Linked DNA regions of Drosophila melanogaster. The protein of the gene in region 2 interacts with the protein of the main gene of each other region in a pairwise test. Each region holds a gene or a part of one and is shown on either strand. Other genes may lie near its edges. The genes, in order: Pdhb, eIF2Bbeta, inv and CG15169.

Evidence for each region.
Region 1: the proteins of eIF2Bbeta (region 2) and Pdhb interact in a two-hybrid assay, tested with the Drosophila melanogaster proteins (one large-scale study listed by BioGRID).
Region 3: the proteins of eIF2Bbeta (region 2) and inv interact in a two-hybrid assay, tested with the Drosophila melanogaster proteins (one large-scale study listed by BioGRID).
Region 4: the proteins of eIF2Bbeta (region 2) and CG15169 interact in a two-hybrid assay, tested with the Drosophila melanogaster proteins (one large-scale study listed by BioGRID).

What each region holds. Positions count from the first base shown.
Region 1 is NT_033777.3:29,111,126-29,116,697, reverse strand, and holds Pdhb (pyruvate dehydrogenase E1 beta subunit), read right to left. Parts: upstream 3,628-5,572; 5' UTR 3,558-3,627; exon of another isoform or gene 3,490-3,557; 5' UTR 3,441-3,489; coding exon 3,249-3,440; intron 2,705-3,248; coding exon 2,543-2,704; intron 2,270-2,542; coding exon of another isoform or gene 1,802-2,269; exon of another isoform or gene 1,752-1,801; intron 1,605-1,751; coding exon 1,193-1,604; intron 1,132-1,192; coding exon 1,012-1,131; intron 951-1,011; coding exon 739-950; 3' UTR 501-738; downstream 1-500. Other genes in the region: Atg14 (Autophagy-related 14), read right to left, coding at 1-230; alpha-Man-Ib (alpha-Mannosidase class I b), read left to right, coding at 4,201-4,287, 4,385-4,657, 4,826-5,339, 5,423-5,572. UniProt on the Drosophila melanogaster protein: The pyruvate dehydrogenase complex catalyzes the overall conversion of pyruvate to acetyl-CoA and CO(2). Might play a role in regulating synapse structure formation at neuromuscular junctions. Might play a role in maintenance of mitochondrial morphology.
Region 2 is NC_004354.4:2,702,812-2,706,755, reverse strand, and holds eIF2Bbeta (eukaryotic translation initiation factor 2B subunit beta), read right to left. Parts: upstream 2,186-3,944; 5' UTR 2,039-2,185; coding exon 1,983-2,038; intron 1,920-1,982; coding exon 1,833-1,919; intron 1,764-1,832; coding exon 1,307-1,763; intron 1,217-1,306; coding exon 831-1,216; intron 763-830; coding exon 690-762; 3' UTR 539-689; downstream 1-538. Other genes in the region: CG2680 (uncharacterized protein), read left to right, coding at 1-427; Ugalt (UDP-galactose transporter), read left to right, coding at 3,300-3,468.
Region 3 is NT_033778.4:11,473,802-11,478,739, reverse strand, and holds the start of inv (invected), read right to left. Parts: upstream 3,033-4,938; 5' UTR 2,765-3,032; coding exon 1,471-2,764; intron 1-1,470. UniProt on the Drosophila melanogaster protein: Engrailed (en) and invected (inv) are functionally redundant transcription factors in neuronal precursor cell NB5-3 specification.
Region 4 is NT_033779.5:18,989,206-18,992,911, forward strand, and holds CG15169 (uncharacterized protein), read left to right. Parts: upstream 1-1,814; 5' UTR 1,815-1,869; coding exon 1,870-2,907; 3' UTR 2,908-3,204; downstream 3,205-3,706. Other genes in the region: CG15170 (uncharacterized protein), read right to left, coding at 1-566, 748-882, 950-1,022; CG46465 (uncharacterized protein), read left to right, coding at 3,454-3,706.

The DNA.
Region 1 (5,572 bases), on a different chromosome or scaffold from region 2:
CTGCAGCTGTGGCACAGTGGGCACCGCATGTGGGCACCCATTCCCGTGGTGGCGTTCCTATCCTTGGCGTTCGCATCCTTCAACAGTTCCTTCGTCGCTGCCGTTGGCCTGCGCTTTGTTGTGTATCCTGCGACATCTGATTCCTCGTCCTCGCCGTTTGTGGAGGCGCTCGAGATGCGAAAGTTGTCGGGGGCCTTGCAGCTTTCGTCGGAGCTGGAGCTGTTTGCCATTACAGCCAAAGCATTGCAATTATTTGTTATGTTATATCTTTTGTTATTGTTAACTTTGCTATTATCGCTATCGATATGAGGACACCTATTGCTAAACGATAGGCTGATATCGAAAAAATAGATGTCGTCAGTGTTGGACAGCGTTCAATAGGAAAACGTTTTCATCGGTGCGCGCACTTTTTAAACTTCAATCATTAACGATAAGAATTATATATTTTTTATCTTCTGATATTATATCATTAACTATACCAAAATATAAGCACTCAAAATGTATTTATGTTTTCGTTTATTTTTCACAAGAGATTTCTATAACCAAATAATTAAACTAGAACGTCCGAAAACTAATCAAAACCCGAAAGCGGTAGTGCTTTATTTTCAGAACATTCAATTTCCAGTTCGGTGCACTATTATGGGGGCAGCTCGGTTAGACCAGAGGCAGCGTTTCGACTTGGACTATAAATTTAGTTAGCTGGGGGTTCCGATCGGGAGGCTGGCTAGTCCTGAGTTCCTACTTGTTGGCCGCAGCGGCCTTGCCCACTTTGCCACCCAAGACCTTAAGAGTCGCCTCCACGAGATCCTGAACGCGGGGCAGGGCGTGGGCCTCCAGCGTCTTGGCATAGGGCATGGGCACATCCACGCCGGCGCAGCGCCATACGGGGGCGTCCAGCTCGAAGAAGGTCTGGTCCTCCATTATGCGGGCGCAGATCTCAGCTCCAACGCCTAAGAGGGTAAAAATTTATAAATATCGCTAGGCTTTCAATTAGCTGAATTTCCCACTCACCGTGTTGGGGCCAGCCGTTCTCCACGGTCACCAGATGGTGGGTCTTTCGTACAGAGGCGAAGATGGTCGCCGTGTCCAGAGGACGAATGGAGCGCAGGTTAATGACCTCAGCCTCAATACCTAAACATATAAGAGAAGGTTAGCTACTTTTCGCGTCATTCAAAGTAAAACAGTGCCGTACCCTTCTTGGCCAGCTCGGCAGCTGCCAGAAGCGATGTCTCCACCGCCTTGGAATGCGCCACCAGGGTAATGTCCTTGCCCGGCCGCATTACCTTGGCCTTGCCGATGGGCACCAAGAAGTCCTTGTCGGCCACGTTATCGGCCACAGGGAATGCCGTGCCATAGACCAGCTCATTCTCCAGGAAGACCACTGGATCGGGATCACGGATTGCGGACTTCAACAGTCCGCGGGCATCCTCGGCATCGTATGGCGAAAGGACCTTCAGGCCGGGGCAGTGGGCGTACCAGGCGGCGAAGCACTGAGAGTGCTGGGCGGCAACACCGGAAGCGGCTCCATTGGGACCACGGAACACAATGGGCACATTGACGGCACCGGCAGACATGTAGAAGGTCTTGGCCGCCGAGTTGATGATCTAAGATTTGAAATTTTAAAGGGATATATTTTAGCAATCCATATTATTATGAATGTGTAATATGACTTAGAAATAATAAAGTGAAAAATGAATGAAAATAATGCTCAGTGTGGATGCCTGTTCCATCAAACTGCAAATTCGCCAATTCAAGTTAATACGCTTTATTTGATGCACTCCTTTCTGTTCCGTCTTGATCTTTACTTAATGCCTAGTTTCTGCTTAATGATAAATGCCGGCAGGCGGCGTCCCTTCCAGAAACGCGGCAGCGGCGTCTCGTTGGCCTGCCGCAGGATCTCCGCCACGTGCTGCTCCGCACTGAATGCCTCCGCCTGCTTGATCTGGGATATCAGCTTTGCTTGGAAGGCCTTCTCTTTGCGCATCTCGCGGCGCTGGCGCACCTTGGCCCACTCGAACTTCATCTTGCGACGCAGCTTCTTTAGCTTGTGCTTCTTCATCTTGCGCCGCCGAATGACGATGAGGCGGGCCGCCTCCATCTTGTCCGACTTGCTCTTGTCCAGCGGCGGCGCAATCACCTCGCCGACTCGATCTCTGTGCAGGATGTCGTTGATCTCATTCAGCCAAGTTGAGCGTGGACTTTCAATTATGAGGCTTATTGGCAGAGGGCGATCACCGACTGGCGGCTTGGCGCAATCGAGTATCTTTGCCTGCACATAATCGGATAATATGGGTGGGGATTAGTGAGGTCCGATCTATGACTTGGGGCAGGAGCTAATCCACCCATATTATCCCATTAAGCGCCGCTGCATATTGCACTTGAATTGGTCTATTTGCTAGCTGTTGGAGTTGTGAGGCATTTGTATTGGATTGTCGTGTTCTTTCTTTTGGTTTACGTTTTGTTGGCAATGAGATAATATGAGTAGTTAGCCTACTGCTGGAGTGCGGGGAGTGGTTCTTAGGACAAGGATGAGGCAACTCACGTGATCGATGGCCTGCATGGAGAAGTTCCAGGTCATGAACTCGCACACGGGACGCAGACCGGCCATGGCAGCGCCAACAGCGATGCCGGCAAAGCCCATCTCTGTGATTGGCGTGTCGATGACGCGCTTGTCGCCGTACTTCTTCCACAGTCCACGGGAAACCTAAAAAGGGCATTAAATGATTAATAGAATGTTAGGATACCAGAAAAATATGTAGGGCTTATTCAGGATGGGAACCTTTTATCTGTTTGTAAAACTTTCCAAGCTGATAACTCATTAACTAAGATTTCTTCAGGAAATACCATTATTCTAACAGGTAATTGTATTGTACTTTGCGTGTCCTATCTAGTTGTTACACCAGTAGCCACAATCATAGTTTAAATGAATCTAATAGGATAGAATTGCTAACGCCGGTTATCAATCCACCTCAAATGGGTAAACAAATCGTTGTTTTATGGGCCAATCTATATAATCAGCAGACAGTCGGTCACACATATTCTGCGTGACCTTGCCCACTCCGATCACGCATTCGGATTCGCGTCGACCTGTTCGGAATCACTATCAGTAGTTACATATAGCACGCATATATCACCCCGCTGACCACCAACTTCCCCCATCCCGGCCACCTGCATCAGCTGTCGTCGTCGCAACCGCCTGCTTGCTGTTTACGTAATCGCGCAGGGGCAGGAAAAGTCGCAGATCTCACCTTGTAAGCACCGTCGTACTGGGCCACCTCCTCGCCCAGGATGAAGACGCGGTCGTCGCGGGCCAGCTCATCGTCCAATGCGCTGTTGAGGGCATCTCGCACGGTCATCTGCTTGGCCGCCAGGGCCTTCTGGCTGGTGGAGAACGCTCGCTGGGCGGAGCTGGCCGCCTGGATGAGTCGGGTTCGGAGCATCGTCGGTTTGCGGTTCGCTTTCCTATGGGTCTATCGCTATCGTTGCCGGCTGTAGGTGTTATTTTTTGGGTTTTAAGTGCTATTATCTAACTAAAAATGGGCTATGGGTTTACGCACCGACTTCCGTCGAAATTTTGATGTGAAAATGGGATGTGACCAGATGTGACCACTTTAATGCCGTATTGTGGGCACACTTGGAGCTTACCAGGGCTGCCAAATAAATCACTGTTAAGTGGGACTAGTGTTGGCCACTCTAGATTTGGCTAAATTCATACTGTGTTAGCTGGATTTTCGAAAAAATTAGCCACTTCGTATTAATATATATTCTTTAGAAAAATTCTTTTATAAAGTAGTGATAATATCTAAAATATAATTTAATTTGCTTTTTTTTTATTTAAGAGGTATTTCAAAAGTAAATGATTGCTAGCCCCATCTTTAGTTTTGGCCGGACTGTTGAAGAACAAGTTGGCAGCATTGCAGCTCAAAAATGCAGCTCTCGTGAAATAATTTTAGAATTTCTTATTTGTAATTTTGCATAGTGTGGGCCAGAACTAGCATATATAAATTAATGCACTGGCACGTATAGAGATGATTAAGGCATAAAAGAGGTAGTAGTTGGACCAACCTTGGTTAGTTAGCTCCGATTCCTCCGCGGCCAGCGGCGCACAGCAATCGATTTTTATTCGAGGCGAATGCTGTGGAATTTCCCATCCAACTTTCCCACACTCTGAATTCCGGCGGCGGCATTTAGTGAAACACTATGAAGGACGGCGGTCACATAACGCTCACACTCCCGCCGGGATCAGCGGCGACGACGGACGAGCGGGGCAGGAAGAGCCTGCGTCGGGTAGGTAGCAACCTGGCAGAAGTCCAGTTGCTGGGGTCCTGGGACATCCTCAAGAAACCCAGAACTTATAAGTACGATCTTTTGTCTCACGGTTCAGGCTTGGAATCAGCTACCGCGTTGTCAGCGCAATCTCATTATTCTGGGCATCACCGGATTCTGCGTGACAGTGTTGCTCTGCCTAAGTGGCGATCAGCTGCTGGCTGCCAGCTTAAAGGATGTGGACACCAAGGCCGAGGTGGCAGCATATCAAATGCCCCTGCCCAATCCGCACCATCATCCGGGGGTGGATAAGGATGTGCCCAAAGACACTGCTGCGGTACCTGTTCCGGCCGATAAGAGAGCACCCCGGGTGGAGGCGGTTAGTGATAAGGTAAGTAGGCCCCCCACTTAATTGATAAGTGCCTAAGTGGCTGGAGTTGTTTGCCTATTAAGATAGCATGCGTATCAATACGATTGACTATTGGTGTTTGATTTATTGCCCACGCAGCACACTTCCAGTAAAATCTATTAATGATATCTCAATATCAATCAATTTCAGTTTAATGAGCTAGTTGCCTATGGAGAAGCGAACTCAGCGGAGAACGTGGCCCGTCTGCCGGAGACGGTGGCTGCTGAAGGACTTCCCCAGGCCTCGGCCATGGCCGTGGCCTTGCCTCCCCCCGATAGTAACAAGGAGCAGGACATCGGTGGAATCGACATCCTAAACAATGTAGAGGAGCCCGTCGCCCAGGATCCAGCAGAGCCGCTTAGCGAGGGCGAGCAGCTTGAGCAAGCCATCAAGAACCCACTCACTCTGGGCGGCGTTAGCTTCAAAGAGCATCTCAAAAAGATCAAGCCCATTCTGGCCAAGGGCCAGCACTTCCATGGCGCCACCAACGAAAGACAGTCGGCTGTTGTAGCCGCCTTCAAGCACTCCTGGGCTGGCTACAAGAAGTATGCCTGGGGCCACGACAACCTGAAGCCCATCTCCCAGTACTCCCACGAGTGGTTCGGTCTGGGACTAACCATTGTTGACTCATTGGATACCATGTACATAATGGGACTGGATGATGGTAAGTTGCCTATATCCTAATGTGCACAAAATCATTAGTTTATGGAAATACTTTCCTTATTTTTCTCAATAACATCTACACAGAATTCAAGGAAGGACGCGACTGGGTAGAGCAATCACTGCGCTTTGATACCAAGCGCGATGTAAACCTATTCGAGGTCACCATACGTGTCCTAGGCGGACTGCTGTCTGCATATCACCTGAGCGGCGATACAATGTTTCTGGCCAAGGCTG
Region 2 (3,944 bases):
CGTGGAGCTGGCGAAGGCCATTAGGCACCTTCAGGAGAATGACGACTGCCAGTTGATAGCCGGCGGCAGCGATGTCATCATGCCACTGGCGGAGAATCTCAATGTGGCCGGGTTCTTTGACTTCCTGGAGCACGTTAAACGCTACACGCAACGCGAGGCCACGTTTCTGGGCAAGCCGTCTCCCATTTTGGGCGAAATGTTTGGCGAAATGTTCGAGATTCGTGATTGCAAGCGCTGCATCTTCATCGGGGACACACTGGTGCAGGATGTGCAGTTCGGCAAGGCCTGCGGCTTCCAGTCCCTGCTGGTACTTAGCGGCTGCCTAACAAAGGAGGACATGCTGAACGCCCCGGTGGAAGCGCAGCCGGATTACTATGCCGATAGCCTGGCCGACTTCACGCAGCTGCTTGAAAATATTCAAAAATAGGTTGAGGATCGTGTGCCGCAGGGAAATTACGAGAAACGTGCTACCTGAAATTAACTATATCAACCCAAGATAAAGTAGTAATGTTCTTAAATCGAAAACCGATCCACCGTTATTGCTTATTCGATATAATTATTGTTGAATTTTAAAGTTTATAAATGTCTACGAAATTGATGCATTTAAATCAATCCAAATCGAAATGGGCTTGCTACTTTACTGTAGACTTTATTGGTAGAATTGCTAAAACAACGAGACAAACACGATTTCAAATCTCCAAATCTTCGGGATGATACAGTTCCGTAAGGAGGCGGTACACATACGAGGGGGCATGGCCACCGCTAAGTAAAAAAAGAATCCAATAAATGCAATAAAAAAGAGTCGAAAGGCCGATAAGCGCACTACTTACGTGTTGGATATGAAAAGGGTGACCAGTTCCGGAGGCACGTAGTCGAACATGGGACTGTATACCTTGGCTTCGCGCGCTGGAATCGAATCGTAGGGTATCACATCCTCCGCACAGCCGACCATATTGAAGGCGTCCTGCTCGCACAGATGCAATGGTGAGAGTTTGTACATGGGCGCCAGTACAATGACCGGCACGGAGTAATGCTTGGCGGCCAGGGCCACTGTATACGCTCCACACGCCGCTCTGAGTCCTCCATTAGCCAGCACGCTGTGCGTACCGATTATTACCTTGTTGACGCGCGACATCATAGCGAAGATGGCCGCATCTGGGATCACAACAATCTCCACATTCTTCTCGTTGGCCAAGCTGGCGGCCAAATTGTGACCCTGTAAAAGACATAGGCAGTTGTTAAGCAACATAAGAGCATTTTCTTACACCCCACAAATACTGTCGTCCCATAAAGAGACCCAACTAACCCGGCAGGCTGGCGCACATTCGGCTACGATGATGGTGAGAAACTGACGCTTTTTGATCGCCCTTTTGAGGAAATTCTCGACGCTGCGCGAGTGTCCCAGTGTCAAGATGATCTCCGACGAATGGATGTGCTCCTCGGCCTGGACGCAGATGTTCTCCGAACTGGTCTCCAGCTCCGTTTCCACCTCCTGCAGGTGGTCGAGCAGCGCTTCCCGCAATCCATGCTGGGGCACCGAGTAATCTACGCTGACGTTGCTCTCGCTGGTCTGCGTGACTAGCTTGTGAAGCGACAGCGAGGCCTGTGAGTCGTCCGCGAAGTGTTGCACCTTGGCGTGCAACAGATCGAACTCCTCGCGAGTCAGCTTGAGGATCCGCCTGGCAATGTTCGAGGTAACCGTCTCCTGGGGCAGAGCTGCCTGCAGGATCTTACACTGGTCGCGCACAATCTGCATGAGAGCACTGTCAAATGAGGGGGAGTTGTTTATCAGTTAATGTGTTATCCTTGGTGTGCCATCCCTTGCAACTCACTCGGCGTTCTGCCAGCTCTTGCTCATGATGATGTACTTGAAGATGTCCAGCGTCTTGTTGGTTATGTTGTAGGATCCCTCCACCAGCCTGCAAAACATATGCCACTTTAACAACCAAATGAATCGCAGTGCCTGCCAACCGACGACTTACCCCACTTTGATGGCGTGGATGAGCTGTGTGATCTCCTTTAGCGGCTGTTCCTTCATCGTGTCCTGGCGTCTCTGGTCTTTGCAATTATGAATTATCAACTAAAGTGGCCAACTGTTACCATTATTCAGTTAGAAAACTATTTACGAAATCGCCACACCGAGCAATGTTATCGATAGGCGGCAGGCGAAAGCGAATTCTAGTGATGAACTCAAAAAAGTAAAAGATTTAAAATCAACACGGAAATTATTAATGTTTTCATTTATTGCATTTGATTAAATTAATTTATTTAATCCCCCCAAATGGCAATATATTTGTAATGTTGTATTGTAAATTTGATGCATCGCAATTATCAGGTGCCGCCAACAGGTTGTTCATCATTCACTGGCTTAATTTGATGTTTTATGTTTATTTTAATTGTCTGCATATACTGGCTTTCATGACGTATTTTCAACGGCAGCTGAGTAAATAGCCAACCTAGTGCGGCAAAAATAAATTTCGCTGGGCTTAAAAATTTAACATACATGTGCATGTAGAACAAGCATGCACAATATGTATTTATGTATTTCGTCCATGAGTTTTCTTGTTTTCTACTTTCGATCCCCATGCTCTCTTGTTAAATTTTAATTTTAATTTTAAAGTCATAATATATACATTAATTTAAGCAATCTCAATGCCCGATTATTGTATATCTAGCTTTTTTTGCAAGCAACTTCTTTTTTCGCGAGTTCCGCCACAATGCCAGCACTGTGACTATCGAAAAGTCGGTCTCTGCTGCGAAAATAGCAACAAAAGCTGCACGCCATGGGCGTAGCTTGCTTTAAAATGGGGATCCATCCCCCAGGAGCATATGTAAGGTGTATTTACTTTACTGAAATGCACAATGCACTTTTAAATTTTGTTTGCATTCAATTAAGAAGGTTTCGCATTTATGACCCCCGTTGCAAGCCCAGGACCACGTCCCTGGCGCGCAGCAACAACAACCACATAGGCGGCGATAAAAAGCCGCCGCTGGCAGAAGCTTCGGGCTCTGATTGTTGTTTACGTGTCGCCCGGTCCAGTGGAGTCGTCTTCATTTGCGCTCTTCTGCTTTTCTGGCCAACTTGAAGGGAACGAACTGCCAAACGGAACGGCCCGCCGACAACTGATCTTGGCCAGGAACGGAGTCTTTGTGTACCCCCAACTACGGCGTTTTGTTTGCCTTCGGTTTCTATTTGGTTTTGGAGTTGAGACAATAGAGCTAGAAGCGTAGCACCATGAATAGCATACACAGTGAGTATTTGGCCTTTAGTGCGGTGGCGTTACTCCAGCGGTACTGACATGGCGCTCCTGCCCGCCCCCGTCACGTATTCCTATTCCCATCGCACAGTGAACGCCAATACGCTGAAGTACATCAGCCTGCTGACGCTGACCCTGCAGAATGCCATCCTGGGCCTCAGCATGCGCTACGCCCGCACCCGGCCAGGCGACATCTTCCTCAGCTCCACGGGTGAGTGCTTATCCAAAAGTCCAACAGGTCGTCGGGCTCAGCAGGTCAAGCCGGTTCACCGCTTAGCAGATTCACCTCGTTGCCCAGAGCCACTTCCACGAAACCTCGACGTGGGTCTGTCCACGCAAGCAGCAACATCAGCAGTAAAAGCAAACGAGTCGAAGAGGTGGAGGTGAAGGTGGTGTAGGAGCAGTGGCAGGCGGGGAATGGTCGTTCGGGTAGATGTGAAGCTGCCAAAGAAACTGATAAGCAGCCACTTCCGCATTTAGCTCCTAATAGCTTGATAAAACTGTTGGGGAACTTCTACCGCGATAGCTCAAGGAGGTTTGGTTGGCATTCTTGAATTACATATGGGTTTACATTTTGCCATTAAACTTTGGTTATTGCTTTGGTGACTCTGTGTGTAAGTTAACCGGACTTATTTGAAAACCCGAACAGCGATACTTGGACTTATTAGTATATATGTACATATATTT
Region 3 (4,938 bases), on a different chromosome or scaffold from region 2:
CTAAGTTGTGTAATTGGGAATCAGGTAGTTAGAAGGGACGACTTTTGATGGATGAATTACAATTATTTACTGATATTTCAACGTTACTTTCTTCAAGCTGGTGTATTAAGATCTATAAAACGTGTGGATAATTGGCTAAAAACTGTCGTAAGTGCTTAAACAGCTGAGCTCGGCAATCTTACAAATTGCATTCAATGATACTTAATAAAGCAATTAAATTTAACTAGTTAAAGATAAAGTAACTCTCGTAATTATATGCCCATTTAAGGCTGATATTGTAATTGAATAATGCTATTGTCAACTACTCTGTTGAACACCAAAGTTTAGTAAGGTCTTAAACGTTTTAATATTGTGTTATAATATCAAGTATCTGTGATAAAATGCATTCAGTCTATTGAGTAAACCTTTGGCAATTCATTACCGATAATAAACTAGCTGAGCAAGCTAATAAAGGTAAACACCTTAACCAAATGACTGCCATCAAGTGGCTTAAATCACTCTCCATTCGCCACTTGAACCACATGATCCATGGACTTACCCGAGATTCCAGGGGATTAGCCAAAAACTATCAAGGAATCCGAATTGCTTGTTCAAACAGCAATAAGCCACCCCATAAATGAGCATATGGGGCACTCCCACCCATCCGATTCCCCCCCAAATTTCAGCCATGAAATTATTAGGCAAACGATTACGAATTCCCTGCGGTGGCATAAACTAAATTCATGAGAGTGCCATGATTGCTGGGAGATTGTTTTGGGGTTGTTCTCGACGGGTTGGGGTGGTGCTGCACACACAAAAACACACACGGGGTGGGTGGGGTGTAGCGGCATAATGAGCTTAAGTTATGTTACATAAGCCATAAGGACATGAAAACCACTCGAGCAGACACTTCACTTCGGGGTGAGTGTTCGCCTCCCTTTCGCTCGCACTCACTTCATTTCGGTGGTTGGCAAACTAATGAGCTGTGGGTTGCTGTGGTTTGGCTCCGTTCGCCGGCTCTTCTGTGGTGTCTGTCGCTTGTTTGCACAACCGCTTTATGAGCCACCACTCAACAGCTCGTCTCCTCGAGTGTGTTTGAGTTTGGAGAAAGAGTGAGTGACTAGCAGTGCACTGCTTTAGCATAAGATGTAAGATGCTTTAGAAAATGCAGGAAATATCCATAGAAACATATGCAAGTAAATAAATTTTGCCAGGATCTACTACAGAATATCTATAATAATACTGGCATGGTGCTGGAGAATCGTATGTTAACGAGAAAACTTGAAACCAAAGGCTTTTCTTTCAAGCTTATGAAGATTAGTATTCAAAACACCAAAACGTAATTTCATAAACTATATTTGCATTCACAAAGTTCATAAAAAGTACGTTAAACGTAGAAATATACAATATTATTTCATCAATATTTGTACTTATGTTTCGCTAGACAACTTAGATAACTGAAGCAAAATTTTTAAAGAGACTTGGACTCACCTGAGCTGGGACGATCGCTGTAGCGGGTGCAGTAGACCCACGCTGGCCAAACGATGGGAGTGCCGGAATCCTCGCCCGATTTACCGGATGCTCCTGTGGCACCCGCTCCTGCCGCTGGCGGTGGCGACTTGACCAGATCCACTGGTGCCCCCGAGGTGTTCGTCGTGCTGCTGCTGGTGGCGGTGCTATTGGAATCGTTGCTGTTGCTGCATATATTCGCCAGCGAGCTGGAGAAGCTCAAGCTCGAGTTGGCGGCGGCGTTACTTTGAGCCAGATTCAGTGGCTTTCCCGACTTCTTGGGCGCCTTTAGGGGAGATCTGTTGCCATTGGTATTTCCAGAATTTTTACTGCTGCCAGTACTGCTCCCACTTACACTGCCACCACCGATATTGCCACTTAAAGCACCAATCTTGGGCAATCTGGAACCAAAGTCCGCCTTCAGGATATTGTCTATGCTGAATTTGAGCGCCCTTTCGTGCAGATTTTCATTGTTATTCAGGTGATTCTGCATGTGATGATGGTGGTGGACCTGATCCCTTTGCAGTAGCAATTGCTGATGGGGATGCACCGCTCCACCGGGTCCCAGACCCAATGCCGTGGCCGTCAGCTGAGCCAGTGCATCCTGACCGCTGGGCACTGTGGCAACCGCCGCCGCCGCCATTGCCATTTGCAGCTGTTTTCCCGCCGCCGCTGCCGTGAGAGCGTTCACCCTGGCGGCGGCCATTAGATGCATCTGCTGTTTCATCAGCTCCTCGGCGTACAGCTGGGACTTTCGCAGGAACTCCTCCTGGAAGGTTCCAGTGGAGGGAGGCAGTTGCAGGAGATCTTCGGGTGAGAAGGGCGGACCTTCGCTGGGCGGCAAAACAGTGGTAGCAGTGCTGCTGAATGCCGACGGTCGATAGATTTGGCTGATCAAAAGCCTCTGCCTGGCCTGAGCTTGAGCGGATAGCGCAGCCTGTGCTGCTTCCGATTGTTCCTGGCCCACACTCAAGACACTATTCTCACTGCAGCAGCTGGCCGGATCCTCCAGGTCCAAATCGTGCTCCTCCTCGACCTCTTCATCCTCTATGTTCAGCTGCTCCTCGCACTCCGTCTGCTCGTCCTCCTCCTCCTCCCGCACTTGGGGCGAGTTGCCCGGCTGGACAAGCGGCAAGGGCAAGCAATCCGGATGCATTTTACCTACTTCCTGGCCACCTCCGCCCGCTCTCCTCTCCTGCGCGTGGTCCTCTGCCTCCTCTAAGGAAGGAATAGTCAGCTTGAGCGGGGGCGGTCGAGTGCTGGCCAAGGTGGACATCAGTTTGAGGGCTTAGGTCTTCAGCTCGAAAGTTCACAGGGACCAAAAGCCGACGGCATTTCAGGGCAGCCAGAAAGCATTAAAAACATTAACCACAGCCAAAAGATATCACTTGGATTGGCAAATACGCCGCGCTATCGTCTTCGATTGACAATTGGTTTTTGGGTTGGGTGATAAACTTGTCGATACCGACGTTAATCCGCTCGTCCGTTAAAAACGTAACGTGCGCTGTTACGAACCGCCGACCAACTGATTCTCTCGCGAACTGAATAGCAAAGCGAGACGGCTGCAGCTGAGAGCCGATTCAAAAAGAGAACTCTCTCTCGCACACGCTCTCTCTCACTCTCCGTCCTGCTCTGGCTTTTCGAACATCCAATCAGCGGCTGCGGGGCGTGCCCTACTGTTGTCCCGCTCGCGCACACGGTCAGCCGCCTGTCAGTTGAGGTTATGTTAAGTGTTTGTATATTTGTTAATTAAGTGCGTCGTCGCCGCAAAAAGAAAAAAGCGAAAAAGAAGGAAAATAGGGATAAGAACTCCACTCCATTTCCATCTGCGCCTTGTCGTTTTGATTATGCGCTGCAGCATTTAAGTCGTAAATCTCACTCTATGTAGGCTGCTCTCGCCCTCCTCCTCCATCATCATCACTTCACTCCCCCTTTCTTTCGCTCCTCTTTGCGGTCTGGCATCTGCAGTCCTTTTTTGCTGGCATCCTATCCGCCGTCCAGCATTATATACCCACACACACATATGGAGTGTGTGCCTGTTTATATACAACACATGCCACAGCTTCCCCGTCTCCTTCACTCCTTCGCTTCCTTTTACTTATTGTTCTTGTTGCTCCGATACAACGAACATTTTTGCGCTTTTTGATGTCATTGTTGTTGTTAGCTGCGCTTTATAAATCACCACCACAATTTTTGTTGCCCCAACATCTGCCGTGATTTCATAATTGCTTTTGATGCTTTTTTGTCGCCGTTTTATTGTTTGTTGTCGTTTTGCCTTCACACATCCCATCGGACAACATTGATGATAGTTCTGCGTAAATGAATACCAATACGTGTGCAATTGCATACGCTTAATCATGGGCGTAGATTCAAAAGCACTGGGGGGATAATGATCAGCTTGCTGGGTTTCTACTGAACACCTTGTCCGGCATTTAAAGACCTCTTAGTAATGCCAAAATAATTGTAATTTAAATTTGGTCCCACAAGCTAATCAATCTGATATCAATAAAAAAATCAAACTTTGATATTCATGATTACTTACATAAGACATTATTTTTAGAATTTAAGTCACTTCGTTCATGTACTATGGAAATTATCCTCCATTCCTGACCAATTTAAGTAGCCCCTTCTCCCGCCAATGAAAATTTGACATACGTTTGCTTGGGCTTGTCTAATTGGCGAACATACTGCATTGTTGCTGTGCTTTGTGCTCATAAATCTGTATTTAGCTTTCCTTTCAAGTATTTGAGACATTTTTGTGTGTGTCATGTGTGGGGTGAAAACGAGTTTGCCTTGTTTGAAGTGAGGTTGTGCAGGGCATGCCGATCACTCTTTTAATTAAATCAGAAAACTTTGTTGTAGTCCACGAAAAGATTTCTAGGAATGGCTGCATTCATTTGCATCATTTGCTGCGGACCTCTTTAGTGACACAGCCGAAATCGGTTAATGTATCATATTTCATATCTGAAATCGACTATCAAAGTTGCACCTTTTCTCCGTTATCGCCGACAGATTGGACATAAAATATCGGAATTCCAGCGATCTTTTTATCGCTGCTGTTGAACCCATAAAGCCCGAATCATGGAGTTTTTCGGGCTGTCCGCGCTTTATTATCGCTTCGAATCGTATTGGTGGAACCACGCCCCGAAATGCAAAGCAATCCAAGCCAGTTTAATAACTTTGTTGCACCATTACAAAGAAGCCAATGCCAGATGCCGACACTGCGATAGTATAAGCACCGACAAACGAATTAATCAGGCTTAATTTCCAGCCCTCGACAAAAGAAACAATTATACGCAGTATGATTAGGAAAAGGAATGGAGTACAAGAAAATAGTTTCATACAGTCGAGCTTCTGTCACTTAACCCTTACCATTTATTTGCCTAAAGACCCGAACATTACCTAATACAGTATAATTCGCTTAGCTGCCTCGAGTACTTTGCACAATGC
Region 4 (3,706 bases), on a different chromosome or scaffold from region 2:
CTTTTCTAATTGCTCTACATACGGCTCCAAATCTGTTGGAATTTTAGTAGAACATCCTCTGACAACGCGGCTTAGTCTGCGAAAGCTGAAGCAGTACTTATCCTCTTGCTCACCCAACAGAACATCCTGCTGGCATTCCTCGTATAAGCTAACATTGCACCTGCCGGTGTTGACCTGAAAGAGATCTATCTTGCAACCCCGGCCGATTGCTGAATCGCAGGTGGCGCAGACTTGGGTCCAAGCTCCTTGCTCCTCATTGCAGCCATTGATCTCACACAGTTGGGCGGAAGTGGACAGCGTGTGATTCTGCTCGGAGGTACAACCTCTGTAGGCATCTGAAGAACTTATGACATCCGTGTAGCACTGATCCTCTTCCAAATGATAGCGACAGGGTTTTGGTTTGGATGCTGGAGCTGCCACGCATTCCTGTCCAGCGCAATGATGGCACTTAAGTCGTCCCGGCGGATAGACACCCGCATTGCACAGGTTCGTTGAGCAAGTCTTTGAGTAAGTCGCTCCGATGATGGGGGTTTCTGCTCCGCAGCCGCGGTATGTAATGGAGTCCACTAATTTGTGTGCGATTAATGGTATAGAAAATCGGAGTTACTAAATATTTCAAATATGTATCAATCAATATCAATGGTCTTTACCTTTGAAATATTAATGAATTGCAAAAATAGATTCTATAAAATGGCCGACTATCCGTCGATTTAGAAACAATTACAAATCACATTTAGGTTCACTTACCAATGGACATGGCACACGTCAGCTCGGTAGCGCACTCCTTGTAGGGAAGAACTCCCACTTCTCCGAGGGTCTGGGAACATTCCGGCAGGGCAATGGAATCGCAGTGGTAGCAAACAATGCCAAAACAACGGTCTGCTATTAAAAAAAAAAACCCCTCTAAGGTTACAACGCATTTTTCCGTGGGAAATCGCAGGTAGCTCACATCTCAGGAGGACCAGGAAAAGGAGGAGCAGGTGGTGGAAGCTTGAGTGGCGATTTGTCTGCAGTCCACGCATTTTGACAGCTCATAAAGAATGTAGTGCACCTTTGTTTGCAAAATTGGAATCCCTAATCTGTTTATGACTTATCAGACAATATAACAATGAGTTGATATAGGCGAACTGTTGATAAGGATAAGCTGGAAAAAGCCATTTAACTTTAAAATAACCAAACATTATCATTTAAATAAAAAGTTACACTCGCTAAATGTGTTCTTAAATTGCCACCATAAAAAACTTACGTTGGTAGAAATTCTTCAATTATTTTAAGGCTTAAAATAGAGAGTTGCTTGATGTCCTAACGAAATCCTTTCGATATAGATAATTTCCCAACCACAGTTGTAAGGTTACCCAACTTTATTCCGGCATATGCATAATGGCCAAAAATGTCATGACCATAATGTGCTCTGTGCCTTGACCCCATTATCGGAGTGTCCCATAGGTTCCATCGAAACGTTCACATCATCAATAATTTAAGGGCTCGCATTTGTTGCGGGAAAGTCTGGAGCTACTCAAAAGTGTGGGTCAAGGGTCCGGCGACCGCCCCAACATATCGATTTAATTTAGAGACCGGATAATTGCGTGACAATCAGCGGATTCGAGTACACATACCACATGTCCAGGCGGCTTAATGACCATCGACCTCAGTTGCCAGCTAAACAGGCACGGGACAAGTCGGGAATAACAAACCCATCGGTGGCCAGAACGGAGCAAATACCCATGCTTGCAGAGCTCTTCAAAACGGGGATAAACCGATAACGAAAGATACATTCTGATAAGCCCATCCACTCGGCGGGTTCCGTTCAAGATTCATTCGCCATCCGAGTCATACACTCTGCGAAGCTACAACCGATCGGTGACCACGATGCGGATGAGATTGCTGGTCATTTGGATTTCCCTAACTGCTCTCCTTGAATGGAGCAGGGCGCAGGAGGACAACATTGAAGAGTTCAGCTTAAGCGGCGGACTAGCGGGTGAAAAGTCAGAAAACTCAGGCATTGAAGCCGGTGAAAATGACACAGAATCCCTAGGACAAAGTCACTTATTTTTGAACACAACACAAAGTCCAACTGATGACCCTGAGCCTACACAGGAACTGTCATCTATTGAAAGTCAAGTTGGACAGGTAGGCCACCAGTCTGGAGAGGATGAGAAGGAACCGGAAATCACAAGCTTAGACACTAATTCGGAAACGGATAACAAATTAGAAGGGGACAAAGAAGAGCCAGAAAAGGAATCCACCGGGAATTCCGGTGGCTTTGCGCCAACTCAAGTTCCTCAAACCGACAAAGTAGACCAATCGTCCGGACATATGGATACTTCGGACTCGTCTTCAGACTCTTCAGTGACTCCCGATACTCGCCCATCAACTTCACTAGAGGAGGTCCTGGAAACTCACCCAACAAACAAAACTGAGGAACCAATGGGAGGATCGCCCGATTACCCGGCTGATGGGCCCCAGGAGGACACCACAACTCCACCCCCAGAAGAAACAACCTTGGCACCACACAAGCCCCCAGTTGCAGATCCAGAACAGAAACCCCTAAGCTGCTATTCCTGCATGTTCTGCAACAAAACGATCACCAATGAAACAAAGTCAAACTGCGGCCCGATACCTGGCAAAAGGAATGGATGTCGCACCATACTGCTCAACGATCCCAATGTCGTTCCGGGGAAGAAGTACTTCCTGCATCGGGGCTGTGTATCCGAGTTAGATATGGAGCTATCTCGCTATTGCGCCGAGAATGAGAAGCTGTGTCCCACGTGCTACGAGGACAATTGTAATGTTCACAACATGACTGAATATGAAGTCACTCCGGGCTCTGCAGCAGTCACCCATCATCCGGGGGTGCTATTCCTTATCTGGAGCATCGGTTTGGTTAGCTGGCAGGTGGCTTTTTAAAAATCCACCCACGCTATTCTGAGTCATAACAATTAAAAAGTAAATGGAGATTGGCATACTTAAAAATCGATAGGTATGACTAATACTGAAAATCGCAGATTATATCGCTGTCTGTCTAGATAAATTAGTTTATCTATGAAATACATAAGCCCAATTAATATAAATTTCTGTTACGAAACTTAATCTATTTGCAGCGCGTGGGGATTTTCGTTTTCTTTCTTAAATAGTGAAATATACTGTACTTAATATGCAAATGTATATAAAATAAAGCATTTCAAGGCGAAACATTTGATTGAGAACATAACTAGTACTTATATTACAAGATAATTATTGTTCAGCAGCTGCTTAATGGATCAGGGATACTGGGAACGGTTTTTAAATTTGGTCCCTTGAGTACGTTTCCTGAAACCATATCATTTAGAGGATATAAAATGGCTCAACAGAACCTAGACTGCAGTTGGCTAAGTCATCGAAGCGTGTCTATAAGCACGGATCAGCGGAACCAAAATTGAATATATCTAGAAATTAAATACGTTTTGTTTAAGAATGTGTCTGCTTTCCAATAATATTATTCTACTTACTATACTGTCAGTCCTCGAAGTCCAGGGACTTTACCAGCAGCAAACAAGTACAGTGTTACCCACCGTAAAGTCCACTATGAGCTCAGACCATACCACCGGAATGGAGGAAAGTTCGTCACCTGTCGAGGAAACAACAACGCTTTCTCCGCCTATAAGATGCCTCAGTTGTAAATTTTGCTCACCCAATGAGGGGAAAACCAGAACTAGGAAGGGCAAAA